Linked DNA regions of Lytechinus pictus. The protein of the gene in region 1 purifies or fractionates together with the protein of each later gene. This does not show direct contact. Links are inferred from orthologs where the notes say so. Each region holds a gene or a part of one and is shown in the gene's direction. Other genes may lie near its edges. The genes, in order: eukaryotic translation initiation factor 2-alpha kinase 3-like and transducin beta-like protein 2.

The links.
Region 2: the proteins of eukaryotic translation initiation factor 2-alpha kinase 3-like (region 1) and transducin beta-like protein 2 purify together in Homo sapiens (affinity purification with western blotting; 3 studies listed by BioGRID). This does not show direct contact. The link is inferred for Lytechinus pictus from reciprocal best matches to the Homo sapiens genes EIF2AK3 and TBL2.

What each region holds. Positions count from the first base shown.
Region 1 is NC_087256.1:21,450,613-21,459,552, reverse strand, and holds the start of eukaryotic translation initiation factor 2-alpha kinase 3-like, read left to right. Parts: upstream 1-4,900; 5' UTR 4,901-5,061; coding exon 5,062-5,288; intron 5,289-6,948; coding exon 6,949-7,078; intron 7,079-7,695; coding exon 7,696-7,893; intron 7,894-8,439; coding exon 8,440-8,570; intron 8,571-8,940. UniProt on the Homo sapiens protein: Metabolic-stress sensing protein kinase that phosphorylates the alpha subunit of eukaryotic translation initiation factor 2 (EIF2S1/eIF-2-alpha) in response to various stress, such as unfolded protein response (UPR).
Region 2 is NC_087246.1:5,231,051-5,240,978, reverse strand, and holds the start of transducin beta-like protein 2, read left to right. Parts: upstream 1-5,575; coding exon 5,576-5,678; intron 5,679-8,969; coding exon 8,970-9,173; intron 9,174-9,928.

The sequences.
Region 1 (8,940 bases):
ACTTACTAAAATATGTTTTCATGAATTTGTAAAATAGTCCTAAAATCTCTTTTCTAGGACTGCGAATTTCTTTAGTATGCTTATCGCATTCATGATTACTTATTCAGGTCATTATGCCCACATCAACTTAAATGTCAGCTCGCGCTTCGCGCTTACATAATTGGACAATATAGTATTCATACTTAAGATCAAAGTGATTAAAATGTTCCCTTCTATGTCAATATCCCAAAAGGTTTCAGCTCCTACTCTGCGCAAGTATAGATTGTTTGTTTATATAGGCATGTTTCCTGTTGACGATTATAAAATGTAATAAATGAATAAATAAATAAATAAATAAATGGATGAATGAATGAGTGAATAAATAAATAAATAAATAAAGGTGCTTAAATTGTCCAGTTTCATGCAGGTCAGTTTGCCTATATAATAAACAAAACTCATTTCGCGTTTTGCGCACGTATTTTAATTTTAGTAATATACTTATCCTTTCCATGGTGCTTGGAATGTTCTGTTTTCAGGTCGGTATATCAACAAAATTTAGAATGCTCTTCGTGCTCACATTATTTGTTTAGTGATCATCTTCATGGATTCAAACGGTGCTTGAAATGATGTCCCATTTTCTCTGGTTCCCGAGAATATCCAATGATTTTAATGTAAGGGGAAAGTGGAGGGCAACTGAAAGTGGTGGCGGCATGCAGATTTTTTAAATGAATTTTTAGATTTAGATTTATTTATTTCCGTTCAAAAATGATATAATCGAAGCAACAGTGTAAATACATGTTCAAATTAACACATACTCAAAATAATACATACAGTTCAATGACATTTCATAACAAAATTTTCACAAGCTTTTTTTACAAGCTCTGTTTTTCTTGGCAAGTCAGTTAATTTATCTTCAATATTTAATATTGAAGATAAATTAACTGAACTGACCTGCTAAGAAAAGCAGAGCTTGTAAAAAAAGGCAAGTCCCTAAACTTAGTTCCAATACTAATTAACATAACCTATATACATGAGACGGACGGAAAACGAACTTAAAATACGTAATCTACAAAATACCAAAATAGAGCGAATAAGCGACAACAAAAATGGAAAGTAATTAAGATAATAATTGTAATGATAACGATAATAACGATAGAATTTTAAGTAGACGGAAATCATAAAAGTGGAAAAAGGGAGGCAAATGAAAGAGAGAGAGAGGGAGAAAAAGTGGTGCAATTAAAACTGAAAATGAAAAGAGGAAATGGCAGGTACACAGGTCATAAGGCACTGTCGTGACATTATTTAGAATATATATATAATTAGACAAATTTATTGATAGTAAAAGATTAGATTTAGATACTTTTAGTTGCAGTTATATTAGCTTAACTTATTGGTGTGGAGTATTGACAAATTAGCATGCAGAGGCTGAACCCCCCCCCAAAAAAAAAAAAAAAAAAAAAAAAAAAACAGAGAGCATATACTGAGACGGCACGGATCGTGTGGTTAGAGCATTGGACTCTTAATCGCAAGGTTGTGAGTTCGAATCCCCACTCTGCCATTGTCTCCACTTTCAATTCAAATGTCCCCTGAGCATGGGCGGAAATCCAATGCAGGGGGGACAGGGGGACGCGTCCTCCTCCCCCATTTTTGGAAAGGGGGTAACGCAATATCAAATGCCCCCCCCCCACACTATATTTGTGGTATTTTTTAATGGAAAAAATACATCATTAAAAAAAATCAAAATAACGAAGTCAAAGTGCTTAAATTTTCCCAAATTTGCATTCTAAAATCCCAAGTTTCTCGCGCGGTCGCTCCGCTCCCACGCTCCTTTTAATCTTAAAAGAGTTTGGCCATGACAATTCCCTACGATTAGCGTACGTATTCCAAAGATTATATATCGCCTGCATCATAAGAGCATGGCAGCATGGTTATAATACTTATATTAGTTACCAATTAATTTTAAATGTGGTTATAAATTTAATCATAAACCAATAAAACAATCATCGAATAAACTGGCGTGATTGTGTGGGGGCTCATTTACAATCTTTGTGGAAGTGGGGGATAATAAATTTTGTACAAAAAATATAGCCATACCCTAGTAGTGTACGATGAGTTACTGATGGCATTGACTAAATCAATGGCGTTAATGAAACACAGAGGCAATTATACACTGTTAAAATATTAGTAATTTTACAAAGAAAAATCGTAAATTTACAGGATGCTTACCTTTTAAAAACAGACGACACAATGATTTAACAAACCAAATGTATTTATGCAGTGATCTGTAACGTAGAATTTCAAGTTAAATGTAAAACAAAGTGAAATATAGTAATTTTTTGTAAAAATACCAACGAACTATCGTGTTTTTACGTTGATTGCATGCAGTCCATCGTATAAATAGTGTTCGTATTTGTAAATAACGGGGATTTTCATGTTAAATGAATATTAAAATGGTGTTTTTATTTATTTATTTTATTTTTTACAGTAATCCAGCTTTTTGCATTTTTACAGCCCATCGTAATTTAACAGTTCATACTGTTTGTGAGTCCCATGCAGCTGCCAGTAATAATTACTGTTTTTTGTTAATACTTTTATTTTTAACAGTGTATATAAGAGCAGCAATATTTCCAACACACTTTACAATTTCATCCGTTTATTATGCCTGTAGGAAACTTTAAATCACATTTATTCCATAACAGTCTAATAAATATGTCATATGAATTTGTCTTGAATTTTGAATGTTACTTCATCTCCCAATATTGAAGATTATTTTAAATCTTTCCTTTCTGCAATATCTTTATTTCAATTAGCATCACCGTACCATTTCCACGGGGTTTGTGTTGTAGCCTGTGATGGCCTATAATCATATCACAAAGCATTTCTAATTCCCAGGCCTTAATCTCGGTAATCATGACCCCATTTTTAAATCATTCTCATCTCACCTTTAACCAATGAGCAAACGAGTTTTCATTTAACAATATCTGGACAGTTTAGCCCTCATTTGCTCTTTATATTTCTTCTGTTCTTATATTCTTTTTTTCTCCTCGAAAGTTTACGTTATTGATAATATAGCGCTATCATCCCCTGTAATATAATTTCTGCATATCATTTTAAACGAATGAAGAATTTCAAACGACTGAAACTGTTTCAAGGCTCGCTCACTACGATCACTCGCAGCATTTCTTAATAATTACACGCAATTAAAAGACAATTTTGGTCATCATTCTGTCTTCCAACTATTAAAATTTTTGCTTGCTCGCTCGCACAGTGATGTTTACTCTAAGTCATGAACACTAGTGTACCTACGGGGGGGGGGCAGACTGCCCCCTGACGAGTCACAACCCATGCAAGGGACATATCCCTGCCCCCCTGACGAGTCCTGAAGAGTCAATTTTTTTTATTTTTTTTTTGCTTGTCAAATTTTTTTCTGATACGAAATCCTTTATTTGTGGTTGAAAACCTTTTTTTTTTTGCTTGTCAAATTTTTTGGCGGACGAATTTGCCCCCCCCCCCCCTGTGGAAAATCCTAGGTACGCCACTGGTCATGAATATACATTACAATATATAGCCATCGAAAAAAATCGCAAAAGGAAAGATGGTAGTATTATGTCCACATTTACAGTATATACTTAGTACGTACATTGCCCGTGATGCACTCATACCACTTATTTATTTATTTATTTTTGTTTTCTTTAGACAGTCTCTTCAGTACATAAAAACTGCTTTTCGAGAGAGCCATGTACATATAAAAATACAAATAACAATCATAATACAATGGCGAACAATTACAGAATTAATTAATTAATGAACTTGAAAGAGGTTTTAGGACACCATTCTGTCTTTAAAGTTTTAACAACTGAAAATTTTCTCGCTCGCTTTGCTCGCTAGCATATTGATATTGACTGTAATTCATTACTTTAATCACAACAAATCCATTACAATAGAGCCATTGAAATGGTAATAGGCATTTAACTGAAAGATGGTAGTACTGTGTACACGGTCATATACCCCCGTACAGCCCTCGGTGTGCTTATGCATGGGGGTGTCCCCAACATTTTGAATTTTCAGGTCAATATGTTGCTATCACCTCCCCCCTCACTGCTTGGACCAGATTTACGTCAGTAAAATGTATAGTATAACAATGGAAATTCAATTGTTTCCCCTAGCTCCCCCACCTTTGAGGAGCGATTTCCGCCCATGCCCTTGAGTTCCAGCCCCGATAGCTATATAATATAGTACTAGTGGCAATTCGTGAATTGCAATTTACAAGACTGAACTAGTGAAATACTTCAAGTGAAAATACAAAATGATCGACGCTACAGAACTCTTTCCCTGTCTTATTATTTGTATCATTTCATGTCATCATGTAAGAAAAGGAAAAAACATAAGACTAAACATTCATCCGAAATAACAAGTATTGTGGAATATGGACAATTTCGCGGAAGTAGTGCCCCCCCCCCCCCGCGCCCCCGATGCATGCACGGGGAAATATTGCATTTTAATTCGCCCCATGCAGATGGGTGCAGATCAACAATTTAAGAAAGGGGGTCAGTACAATAAAAAAATCAAAACAAAGGGGGGGGGGCGGGGGCCTATACACTACACACATGTTTAATACCCTCTCCTTATTTTCTCTCATCCACCCGCCACGAACCTCACTTCAACTTAATTTTATCCCATATGGTATTGGCAAGTAAGATATAATGTACCCAGCAGCCATAATAGTTATCACTCCAATAACACCCCCCTTGGACGCAGAGGGCAAGTACGTATTTTGTTCACACCCCCCCCCCCCCCCCCCCCCCACTCCCACACCCTCTCTCTTCCTCTCGATCAGCCGCGCTTGAAGGTTTATGCATGTTCGGATATCGGATCGGATCGATGGTGCGATGTGATCGCAGTATTTGACCGGTCACGGATCAATAGTCACGTGATCAACAAAAACGTAAATACACGTCAGGCTAATCAACGCGGAAAGTTCCACATCATTCAACTTTTCAGATTGATAGGTATTGTAGGAGTGGTGATTCATTGTTCTCGACTCTCATTTTGACCATTCCCGATTGAAGCAGCAAATGTTTGATGGATGCAGCTAACAATAGAGCAAATCTAACGAGGATTTGCTCACTTTTGGCTTGCATCATTATCTTCACGAACATTTCGCAAGCCGAATCGGCCGAGGGGAACCCCGGGACTTCAGGCGAGAATAATAACAGTGAGCGTTTGAGCGGCAGTTCCAGGCTTCAGAATGCTGTTCATCGTCCGTCACCAGAGAGTTGTTCAGCCTCACACTCACAGGGTGTTAATAGGTGATTACTGAACTTTAAATGGGTACTCAATTTGAATGAAAAGTAGTTGGTTTGACTTTGAATGAAAAAGAGTTTTAAGTAGACTAGAGAATTTAACTCACTGACCAAACTTACGTAGTTAGGCAATATTCCAAAAACAAAAAACAGTGACAATTTCAAAATTTTCAATCCAGATTCCAGTGTTGGAAGTTGAAATTGTCTGGACTCTCGTTTTCATTCATTGTCTCATTTCCAAGACGGGCAAGCCATTGGCAAAAGAAGTGAACAAGAATATTGTTTCTGAATATGGCCACTTTTATTTCTGAAAAATATGGAAAGAAATTTTTATAAAATTTTTAATAATATGTGTACTGTAGCTGTTCTGGAGCCCGTTGCAGAAAGAGTTGCGTTTAAACGCAAGCCAAAAAATCAATCGCATGTAACAAATGCGCGCTGTTGATTGGTTGAAAATCAAGTTGCGCATGATTTTTAGAGTTGCAATTGATTGCAACTCTTTCTGCAACGGGCCCCAGGCCTGATCGAAAAGGGACCTGTTGAAGACTTTTTGCAGTTAGCCATTAAGACGATACACTTTTCATCAATTAAATAATGCAAGCGCGAGCTGAAAATTTTTGATATTCCGGCCGAAAAAATTGACATTCTAACTCTAAGCACTTTTTGTAATCATGAACAGGATCTATGGTATATAATAAGTAGAACTAAACAATGAAGTGCGAGCGGAAAAAAAATTGAGATTTCAGACCTAAAATCTGGACACTATTCATGTTTTTGTAAATTATGGAAAAAGATGGGTTATTTGTTATCTTCTTACACTAATAATGCGAGCGCGAAGCGCGAGCAGAAATTTTTTGATATTCTCATCTGAAACTGGATAATTTAGGCATTTTTTATTAAAGAACAAGCTGCATATGAGTATATCTCAATAAACATGCATGCACATGTTTTAGAGTTAGACAGAATCTTGGCATTCTGAATACTTTTTTTTTGTTATGAAAATCAATAATGCGAGCGCGAAGCCCGAGCTGAAAATATTATATTCTGATCAAAGGGTCAATTTACATGTAAGCACTATTTCAAGCACTGTGTAGGAAAATTGCAAAGTGGATGTGAACGCACTTAATAAATGATGCGAGCGAGAAGCGCAAGCTGATATTTTTTATTATTTTGACCTAGGACCTGGATATTCTAAGGATATTTTGTCATATGAAAATGATGACTATATGCATTGACACTATCAATGGCTACAATGCCTTGTTCGGTATTCCTATTCCTTCTTCTTCTTCTACTGTCTGCTTCTTTTTCCACAAAATCCCATTCGTTTAACATGTGGTTCTTGTGAGCCCTGCCTAGGCTCCATCCCTTATCTTAATTCTCCCAAATTTGGTACACATGTTGTCCATGACCCATTGTTGTGCACCTCGTATTTCATTTTCCCAAATCACTCATGCATGACCGTGCAGGCGCCATTTTGTCAATTTCAAGTCCATTTGCCTACCATTCTTCATTCTTTCATATCTCCGTTATCCTGCATGCTACAGACTTCTAACAAATTGCTATAGATAGGTAAAGAGTTGCTCTATCATTTGCGACCATAACCTGCCCTTCAAAATGACATCGTCATTCAAATCAAATTTGATCATAACTTTGCTTTCTGTGCCAGGCCTCTGATGATCCTGAGCACGGTGGATGGGAAGGTACTTGCCTTGGACATCCAGAATGCTGGCCAACAGCAGTGGAGTATGGATGCTGGCATTGGACCTCTACTCTCATCATCCATCAGTCAATTTGAGGTAAAGAAAATTATCCCTTTTTTTTTACCAATGAAAACATTTTTCTAACCGAAAATGAATTAATTGTACTCTTGCAATCAATAAGGTGGTTTTTCAGTGTGAAAGTGTTGCTTTGAGAGGGGTTAGCTGCGTACATTTATTTCAGCATTACATTTTTAAAAAGTTTTTTTGGTCGATGAAAGAATATCAGTGTTTTGATACAATAAAAAGGAGCTTTACATTATTTTTGCAGTACACATAACCTGAAGTATAATACTTGATTTGAGTAGGGTAATGAAACTTACAGTGATAAAGTACCTTGTAAAACGTGTGTGAAATTGACAAGTTGAAAACCTCTTTTGATAGGTATGATTTCCAAAAAAAAAATCAGTCATTAAGGCTGCAGAGAAAGAGTTGCAGCATTGTTGAAGAAATTCTGGTGAAGACTGAAGGGGATGATTGAATTAGAAATAGAACACCACCAATCTCTTCATTTTATTTCCATTTGAATGATTAATTCCCATCAACTGTCAGTAACAAATATACTGTATAAAACAGTAAAATTATGATTGAAAGATAGAGGAGATCGCAAGAAAAGCATAAGAGCTTTATAATTATGCTCCCTGATATTCTTTCAGATCATGGGCCCTGAAGGAGTATACAAGGTGATACCATCGTTGAACGGGGGTCTGTTCAAATGGGATGGGGAGACTCTTGAAGCAGTTCCGTTCACAGCAGAATCCCTTCTCAGTACCTCATTCAGGCTCAACGAAGAGACGATGATGGTCGGTGGCAAGGAGATCCATACGTTTGGCATCAATGCTAGAACTGGAGAGGTATGTTGGGTTGATAAAAAAAAACTTTTCAAATCTTCTTTGTGGTGATACAAGATTTTATTATTTTTTAAATATTTCTCTTGTTCATCTTTTTTTTATTAAGTAAGGGCCATTAAATCTTTCCTCTTTTTTTTACATAATTTATGTTTTTCATGAAATTAGATCAGAAACAATTACAAGTAATCAAGTTGGATTTTGAAAATAAAAGTAAATATTATCAAAAGATCAACTTTGCAATAGAACACATAACTTCAAAGATCAAATCAAGGATGGTACCTGGCATTACATCATCATATTTGAATATGTTTAAAAAGTGAATTATTATTGGAAGTATCTGCAGTATTTTGGGGGATTATTATAGAATATAGCTCAAAATATGAAATTTTTCATTAATTTTTTTAATCATATGATATTTGTTAATTTTGTTTAGATGATACATTTTTTGAAAAGTTTATTTAGAAGGTAATAAAGACAAAAGAGAAATGCTAGTCCATTATGATTAAAATTTCATTGAATTTAAACTTTTCTCTATCCTTTACCTCACAGGTGCACTATATTTGTGGTACTGGTGGATGTCAACTGTATGGAGACGAAGCTGCTGATGACCAAGACATCATTGTCATTCAGCAGACCAGGCAAACAGTGAGGGCAGTAGACCAAAGAAATGGCTTAGAAAAGTATGTTCACAGATTCAATTGAATGAACATAAATTTGTCAAAAAATGGTGTTGGTTTGCAAAGTGAGGTTGCATGTAACTTGCTGATTGATAAAAGAAATTACATGAATGAAACAATTTATTTGATTATTTACTGTATTCCTCACAATATCAGATCTTTTTTCATGAAAAGCTTAAAAAATGATGAAAATAATGACAATGATTGATGAAGATCATAATAAACATTAAACATCATTCACAAATCATTAATACCAAGAAAGTATTTACCAGTATGCACTTTTACAAAGATGTAAATTAGTGAAGTAAATATAGATATCTTATATACAAAAAAGTACAATTTTTATGGAACAAATTTCATCAATGTATTGAGT
Region 2 (9,928 bases), on another chromosome or scaffold:
TTTTTTTCCACTCAAAATTTTGTCTCACAGGTCAGAAGCCCATTTGTTTTGTGTGTGATTGACAACAAAAATCCTTATCAAAACAAAAGTAGACGGTGAAATTTTAAAGTAGACGGTGAGAAGGGGTAATTTTTCATGAGGAATCTGCTTATCACATTTTTATTTGCCGCCAAGGTAATCCTTTTGCAGCAAATGTAAATAAAGGAAATTGGTCTCCAAAACTGGAGACTGTCTCTGAAATTTGATACCCAAATTCTTTACAAAAGTCTCTGATATTGGAGATAATCTCCCACATTGGAGACAGTCTCCAATATTGGCCGTGCGCCTCTACTGAATACAAAAATATTGTATATTATAAAGTAATAAACCAAGGCCAAGGCTCCACATTAACTTTTTTTGGTGTTGGCCCGTTTGGGCCACCTAAACCTTCAAATAATTTTTTTGGGTGGCCCGATATTAAAGTTTGGTAGCCCGATAAATATTTTAAAAAACATGAATAAAACAAACTTCTGAAATATTAATTCTGCAGCCACTACCACTGTTACTTTCACTTTGTACATATGGTCTTGTATGTAAATCTTGTTTGCTGTTATTTTACTTTGCTAATTGATTTGTGGTAAGGCCAAGAGAATGAAAGTTTTAGATTTGCGTCCACCGCCCGCATGAAAATTTCATTATTTCAAAAAAAAATTCATTACTTACTCTCCATCACGAAATTACAAATGTCCCAAATCATCGCTGGGCAGTAAAAGGTTATATTTATGCACTTACTTCGTGCATACAGTATACCACTGCAGCGCACCTTTGATATCCGGTCACATTGTCTACGCGGGAAATGGTCTTGGTTCGTGATCGGATCGCTCTAGTATCGATCGAAAATTATCGAGACTCTGCAATTTCATGCATATAGTGGAGGTGCCGTGGCTGAGTGGTCTAAGGCGCCTGGCTATACATGGAAAGTCCGGGGTTCGATCCCCGGCCGCGGCACCTATGGCCGTGAGCAAGGCATTTAATCTACAATGCTCTTTTATCCTGCTTTCAAATAAATGGAAATGCTATATGCATTATTGGTAACTAGGTGTGCACTTGTTTGTTAAAAAAAATATATATATTCACGCGACGCTCCGAAACCCGGAAATCAATTGACTTTGTATACGTTGCGATAGACTCTACAAACTCCAACAAACACGATGCCATATCGACGCTAATTCGTAAGATTTTGACCGAAAAGCAAGAAGTAATCGAAATTCACTTACCTGTGCGGTATCGGTGAGAAAATAGATCCTCCGAGAATACCTTTCATAATTCATATAAAATATAGGAAGGTGAAATTCTAGGTCGATTTTGGTACGAGGTGATAGAGAATTGCAAACTTGTTTTGGTGGAATACTGTGTGGGGCTATGGAAGGCTTGCAGTATGCATGCTTACTATATTTTCATTTATAAATTGGCCCTCGGCAGTGGCTGGATGACGTCATGAATAAGCAAAATGTACACGCCCGCTAGATAATGAATAATGAATAATGAAAAAAAGCCTCATGTCATTTGAAAAATTTTCGGACGCAAATCTAATACCTTACTTCTCATGGCCTAATATATAAATTGTTCTATCATTGTAAATATGAAATGATTAAAAAAATTGTATTGTTCCCAGGTTGTGTGGACTTTTTTTTAAATCTCTGTATAGACACACTCATAATGGTAAAGTAAATAAATAGTGCATTGCAAACTCAGATAGAAGTACAAAACAATTATTTTTCCTTTCTTCCTTTTTGAATCCTAAAACCTAGATTATGCAGGCCCCAAATCCAGTTTATTTTCTCTTTGCCAGCATATTATAGCAGGAGAAAATCACAGAAAAATATGCTGCAAAGTTAGAACAATGCATAATAAGGGGAAACAAAAATAATTTTTAGAATAGTATATTAAAAAAAGAAAAAAATAATAATAAAATAAATAAGTGAAATAAAACAAAAGAAAGAAAATGAAGAAAGAAAAAAACAAAGAACAGAGAAAAAAGAAAAAGTTTAGAGAAAAAAAACAAAAGAAAATGAAAGAAAAATGAATAAAACAAAATTAATAAAAAATTGGGAAAATTATTATTATTATTTTTCAGTAGAAACATATTCTTTAATCAGGCATATTCAATGGGAAGGGGTATAAATGGTTTAACCACTAAAAAAAAAATGAAAGAAAAAAAAAACGACAAAGGTTATATCTGGAAAAAAACAGTGTGAGAAAAGTCCTCTATATTTGCCAAAATGCTGGAATAATTCACATTTCATATCAATTAATGCATTCCCAAAGTATTTACTTCCTCAAGAGTGATTTAAGAAGTCATTTATAAACAAGAAAGCAAGAAACTGTCTGTTTATTTTTGGCTAGAAAAGACACCGCTTTGAAAGAAACCAAGTATCAACATACATACAAATTCACACGTGGGACTGTGATGCGCTCACCTATGTGTTTTATGTGTATTAATGCATTTGGAAATCTGTCTTTTTGAGTCAAAAGAGAGGTCATAATTCCTCTTTTTAATGCTTGCAAATATTCAGGTTACACCAGATTTTAGTAATATGGACTGTAGAAGGGCATTTCATTGGTGTAAAATGTGACTTTGACGTAGATTTTCAAAGTTCTGTGGAAGATCTCTTAGCAGCAACATTTCGTATCGCAGCTCCCTTAGTCTGAATAGTCTGCAAGTGCACAGCTAGCTGCAGTGGTTTCATACATGCAAAGCTTATGCCAGACGGCCGGCGCGGCCGGCTGGATAATAGTTACTGTATGCTATAGCGCGCGGTAGGCCTACATACTGTCTGTGCCGGGTAAAAATGGCAGAGGAAAAAATGGCAGAGGAAAAAATGGCAGAGGTAAAAATGGCAGTGGTAATAATGGCAGAGGTACCACATGAATTTCGAAATGTGTAGCGAATGAAATGTATGGGTGTTTCTTACCTTCTTAAAAATGTTCGGCAACATACTGTCCACACAACAATTGGTTAAAACTTTATCAAATTCTGGGCAGTTTTAAACCAATAATGTGTGCTTTGGGTGAAAACTACACAGTATTGGTAAAAACTACCCAGAGTTGGATAATTTTCAAATGGTGCTGTCACAATATTTACTGGGAGAGTGTTCCACATCTTGATGGTTCTGGGGAAGGAGCATTGATGTTGTTGGGTCCGTGATTGTGGCATGAGATATCCTTGAGTGTGAACAGCTCTTGTTGATCTAGTACATTTGGTTATGTATGCATCAGAGTTGAATGGGACAAGCTCTTTGTGGATCTTGTAGAACATCACAAGGCGAGAGATTTCTCGTCGTTGTTGAAGGGATGTCCATCCTAGCTCCTACAGCATCGATGACACACTTGATGTATTGTGATATCAATTCAGTGTGAATCTAGCTGCTCTGCGTTGGATCATTTCAAGCTTGTAGATGTTCTTGGAGGTAGATGGATTCCAGACAGTAGATGCATATTCTACCAAAGGTCTGACAAGTGAGCGGTATGCTGTAGCTTTCAACTTGGGAGAGTTTACTCGCAGGTTTCTTCGTAGGAAGGCAAGGGTGTTGTTAGCCTTTTGACAAACATTGCTGATGTGACTGTTCCACTTCAGGTATGAAGTGATAGTGACACTGTCAAGATATTTTGTTGCTTCTACAAGAGTAAGGATAGCATCGTTGAATTTGTACTGTTGTACAATCCTGTTTTGCTTCCTGGTAACTGTGATGACTTCACACTTATTGGTGTTCAATTCCATCATCCACTTACTGGTCCACTCACTTAGTTTGTTGAGGTCTTGTTGCAGCTGGTCATCATCAGTATCTGACTGAACTGTGAGAAGATGATAGCATCATCAGCAAACAGTCGGACTCTTGACTTGAGTTGATCAGGCAGGTCATTGATAAAGTAGAGAAAGAGGCAGGGGCCGAGGACAGAGCCCTGTGGCACGCCTGAATTTACATCAATTTGAGATGAACTACGACCATCCAGGAGCTCTTGCTGCTTCCTGATATGAAGAAAGTTGGCAATCAAGCAGTTATTATGTCCTCTAACTCCATAGAACTCCAGTTTCCGGAGAAGGCGCTGGTGACCCACCTTGTCAAATGCCTTGCTAAAGTCCAGAACTAAGATGTCTGTCTGCTTTCCATCTTGAAGGTTGTTGGTCAGGTCTACCAGTCCTAACAATTGTAGCTCACATGACCTGTGTTGTCTAAAGCCATGCTGAAGAGGGTACAGAATATCCTGGTGGTTTCCATGCTTCATGATATTACTTGCAAGGATATGCTCCATCAATTTACATGCGATGCAAGTTAGTGAGATGGGTCTGTAGTTGCTTGGTTCCGCTCTATCTCCCTAGTGATATAGGACTTCCTGAAGATATCCCTCAGGGATGGAGCAATAATACCTGATAGCTCCTTGAGTACTAGAGGAGTGATGCCATCGGGACCAGGTGCTTTCTTTGGCTTCAGATTGTCAAGCAGTTTCTTGATGCCTTTTGTTGTGATGATGATATCTGGCATGGTTTCATAAGGCGAAGAAGGGGGAAGCAAGTCAGGAGGTACTGGAGTCTCTTCAGTGAATACTCATTGGAATTGGTGGTTGAGTGCATTGGCCTTTTCAGTGGGGTCGGTAAGCTTCTTTCCGGCTGACTTGAGTTGGGAAATTCCTCAACTGTCACTTCGGTTGAACTTAATGAAGCTCCAAAATCGTTTCATGGCCATGAATTGATTGTCTTCATCATCAGATCCATCGAAGATAGACTCAAGATATTTCCAGTATTCTTTCCTGATCTCTCACTGGATGATCCTCTTAAGACTGTTGCTATACTCTTCAAGGTTATATGCAGGGTGCTACATAAGCACTTGCCCGATTGCCCGGGGAAAGTAAAAGTTACAGTCGGGCAAGTGTTTTGAAGTAAAGAACAAAACTACTTGCCCGAATTGGGCAAGCAAAATTCTCAGAGTAGAATGACCAAAATCAGGGTCGATATGATATACTGACCCTAATATTGGTCGTGGCAGGCAAGATAAAATCACTTTGGAAAAAGGAAATGGTTTATAAAGCTGCAAAACTTTCTTTAGAAGAGGTAACTTTTTTTTTCAATGATTTTTTTGGGCAAGTGAAGTAGATTTTTGGGCAAGTATATTCCAACTATTTAAAAATTTACTTGCCTGACCGGGCAAGTGCTTCTAAAAAGTTATGTAGCACCCTGGTTATATGGAAGAAGTCCTCTGGATTTCAAGATGTTTGTACATTTCTTGACAACCCTACTCCTTTTCTTGATGAGCTTTCTAATTTTTGCAGTCACCCAAGGTAGGTTGGCTCTGGGCTTCAACATTGTATGAGGAATGTGTGCCTCGATACCATTCTTGATTCCTGCTTGAAATATGTCCCATAATTCACTAGTGGAGCCGTGGAGGCTTCCTTGAGCTTGGATGATATTTCATCAGCTACTTTTGACATGCTGTCCTTGAACCCTTCCCAGTCTGCTTTGCTGTAGACTGGAACCTTTCTAGGCATTTGATGCCTTCTTGATGGTTTCATGTCAAAGGTCAGCAGAGTCGTGACAGTCATGATCCGATATGCTAGGAAGGACACATACATTGAAGGCAAGGGTGGGATTGTTGGTGAGGAACAAGTCCAGAGTGTGAGCCGTCTTGTAGGTTCTTCTACAAGTTGGGTAAGGCCATGATCATCCAACATTTCCCCAAACTTATGGTGAAGAGCAGGATGGCTGCACGCCTTCACTGTCTGGTTTGTCCAGTCCCAGCCTGGGAGGTTAAAGTCGCCCCCGATGACAACAAGCTGACTTGGATTAAATCTTGACAGTGATTGTTGAAGCGCCATGAAAGGCCATTAACACGCAGTAAACAGTGCGTGTTAACGGCCTTTGTGCAAGAAGGCGACGCGTAGTCCGCGATATCATTATGAGATATCATTATGCTTGTGCAACACTTCCATTTCATTCAAGTACTACTATGTATTTGAGCTTATTTTAAATAGTGTTACTTTCCCTGTCCAAAAAGTGAGCACATCACTTAGATATGTTTGTTGAAATGAAAATATTCTTAATATATACACAACAAAAAAAGTAAGTCCCCCCTAAATCAAATTGCTGTAACTTTTGAACGGAATTATTTTGAGATATGATATTCCGTAGATGGTTTTCTACACTCATTAAGCAACTCCCGGAGAAAAATAAGATTGATCGGTTGAGTCATGCATGAGTAATTAAAGATTGAATTAAAAATGACCATTTTTGAAAGTCACAAGAGTCGTTTTTCAGATTGTGCACATACAAAATTGGGCAAATGTTGTCTTTAGGTGAATTTTATGGTGTTATGCTGTTTTACTATCCATCATTTAGCCACTCCACACACAATTTTGATATCATATATTCATGGTTGAGTGAGCACAATATATTGCAGGGGCCTCAGAAGCGGGGGGGGGGGGGGCTGGGCGGGGAGCTTCATCCCCCCACTTTTTTGTACTTGCATGTACAAAAATGTAAAAATGACCATACGATTGTGATTTTTTGCATGGTCAGCCCCCCCCCCCCCACTTTGAAAACCCTTCCCCGGCCCCTGTATTGTAACGTATCATCATAGGGGTTTATGGTTGTATCTTCTGCAACTTGTTAGATCATGTTAAAATTTGAAAATGTTGGTGGCTCCCCCGATTATAGGCCCCTCCCCCATTTTAAAATTCTGGACCCATCACTGATTTGTCCATAAATTAAACTGATCATGAGAAATTGTTAGGAAAAGAATACATTTATGCAGTATAAAGAGTATTTATTCCTAAGTTTTCGAATGTGCTCGCTCAACCATGAAAATGTTTAAAGTTCGGAAAGTGTGTGGTGATAGAAATGATGGATGATAAAAACAATAGGAATTAAAGTCTTATTTGAAACCGAATATGCCCCCAATATTCACTTTATTACCCTTTAAAATGAGTCTGTGACATTGAAAATACAAAATTTTCCACTTTGATGCGTGCTCACTCATCCATAAATAGACAAATCGATTTCATTTTTGCACAGAATTCTGCCCTTAGGTTGATAAACATTACTGCCAAATGACATTGCTAAAGACAGCCGTGAAAAAAAGTTCCACCATATTGAATAAGGGGTTACTTATTCTTAAACATGTGCACCCATAATGTACACAGGTCTATGAGAAACGAAGTCATAATTTTAACAAATATGAAATGAGGATTTGTTTCATGGACGGTTTTTGTTACTTCTGCCAATAGTTATTTCATGAAACTTCGTACATGGCTTCAGAGTAACACTATCCAAAAGGCGCGCACACCAAAATAACCATTCGATACGACACAGAGTGGGGCCAAGGCCTTGAACTTTCTTCTCATTTGCATAATTTTCGAATATTGTGTGCTCACTGATGCATTAAACATCGGGATTTTCATAAAAATCAAATCAAATGAACTATGCAAGGAGGTTTGTGACAGATATCCATTGTAGCAAATTGCATTTTTTCCAATAACGTAAAAAAGAGCTAATCGCATTCCACATGTTCATTCAAGCGTGGATATTTAATTAAACGCCTTTGAATCATTGAAGCATGTTAATTGGTCGTGAACATAACGAAAAAGTTGAGAAAAGATCATTTTCAGTTCCCAAAATGAACCAATACTTGCCTAAGATATTTGAAAATCGTATTTTTTGTTTTCAATAAATGTTCATTGAACCGTGAAACGATGAATATTGTTGAAGAAACTCTTCCAAAAATAACTGTCATCATATTCTATCATTTTTATTGATATAAATGTGTAAAAAATCCAATTATAGCAAATTTGGACTTGTGTTTATTCAACCGTGAAATTTAGCCAAAAAAGTTGTATCGTCTTTTAGAGAGTACATTTTACAAGCCTTCTGACAATTTTTTATGATGAGAATGTGGAATTGGTTCCAATAAAATGGAATCAAAGTCATGATATTTGGCTTGTGACTTTTGAAAAGGGACATTTTTGCCTTCTGACGGTGCCTACTGAAGCATGAAGTGAAATAGGTCCATAACGTTTACTCAGAGGTAGCTTATAAAATTACCTACACGCTCATGTAAAAATATATTAAAAACTCGCATTGGTTCGGAAATTATTGATGTTTGTTTAAGGGGGGACTTTTTGTTGTGTATAGATTGATGTACACAATTGAAAGGAAGAAAGGAACATGACAAAGCAATGGAGAAGGGGAGAAGGAGGGAAAGAGAAAGAGGAGAAAAAGAGTGGTGTTGAGAAAGAGTTTTAATTAGTTAGAAGAAAATAGTACACCACTTCAGAAATAAAAGTATGAAAAAAAAACATTTATCTAAAATCACATCCATGCAAATTTACAACACACAAGCCTATGTGGTGTTTTAAAACGCGTTTTAAAACATGTTTTAAAACACACCGTTTAAAACGTGCCAACCCTGGATGGCCCCCTCCCCCCCCCAAAAAAAAAAAAAAAAAAACTGCCATGGAAAACGAGTCTCCTTTCAGTAGCATCAATACTGAATATCAGCTTTGTAATCATTATATTGTAAAATATTGTATTTTTACTTCATTAAAAATGGGAAATATAAACTATTCATCATGACTTGACTCTTTTTTAATTCGTTTATTATTTGTTTCTGAATTGGAAAAAGAGATTTAAAAAATTACAATTTTATTGAAATTTTACTTTCCACCTGTTGGGGGACCCAAAGAATATAGGCTATCAGGATTAGGTCCCTCACACAATTTGCAAGATGACTAGCCATCTGTGAAGGAGAAAGTAAAAAAACTTCTTTTTAAAAATTCATGTGTAAAAACTCCTCCAAACAGACCGATTTCAGCTGTATAGTGGTGTAAGAGTTACAAGTAAGGTTTTGATAAGAAACTTATGATTTGCACTTTTACATTCTGAAAGTTCGAATTTTGATTTTCGATTGGATCATCATTCTTGCTTTTTTTTCTCTCTTCAGAGACTAATGAGAAGAAACATAAAGAGAAGAAACCAAACCAAGTGACCAAGAAGCAAACAAAATCTGGTAACCATGGCAATAAGAAGTCCTCACAGAAGGCATTTACTCATCCTCTCCTAGCTTCCTCACTCAAGGAACACAGTCACAATGTTCTCGATCTGGATTTCAGTATCAATGGCAAATATGTTGCTTCGTGTTCTGAAGGTAAAGTAGACATTCAATACAACACCAGTTCAACAGCCACATACATGTAACATTGTTTGGAACACCCAACATTACACATAATCTGTTCAGGGAATCAGTGCAGTGAATATGGGTCAAAATAAAAACCAACCACAACACCTAACCTGAAAATGGGGATAGTCAATACCAGTGGCGGACCGTGACCCGGAGGAGACAATGATTGGAGGGGCACTGTATGGTTTGTGAACAATGCTGTGCCCCTCCAATGCTTTGTCTCCTCCAGGTCACGGTCCGCCACTGGTCAATACAAACAACAACCACAACACCCAACTTAAAACATGGTTGGTGTTGGAATGAGGGTCAAACAAATGTCAACAAATAACACTTAACTTGAATTTTGTCATGCTTAGTTTTGGGAACTTTATACATTATGTGAGGGAAAAACAGACCCCAACCACAATACACCTTGAATTTAGCCATGGTTGGTGATGGGAACTTTGTGCAATAGGTGTGGGGGAACAAACCCCAACCACAATGTCAGGTTGGCATATTACCAGTGTTTTGAGCTTGAGTTTGCCATCATTTGGAAAAATGGAACTTTAAACCAAAAAAAAAATTGAAATGCTGTTCACCAGCCTGATTCCAGCACACAACACCAACATAATTCTTGGAGTCATTCTGCTCGTGAAGCTATTACCTGCACTACAGTACATTTCTTTAGATGTTTGATTTTTATTATTCACATGATTCTCACTCTCTTCTCAGTGATATGTTGT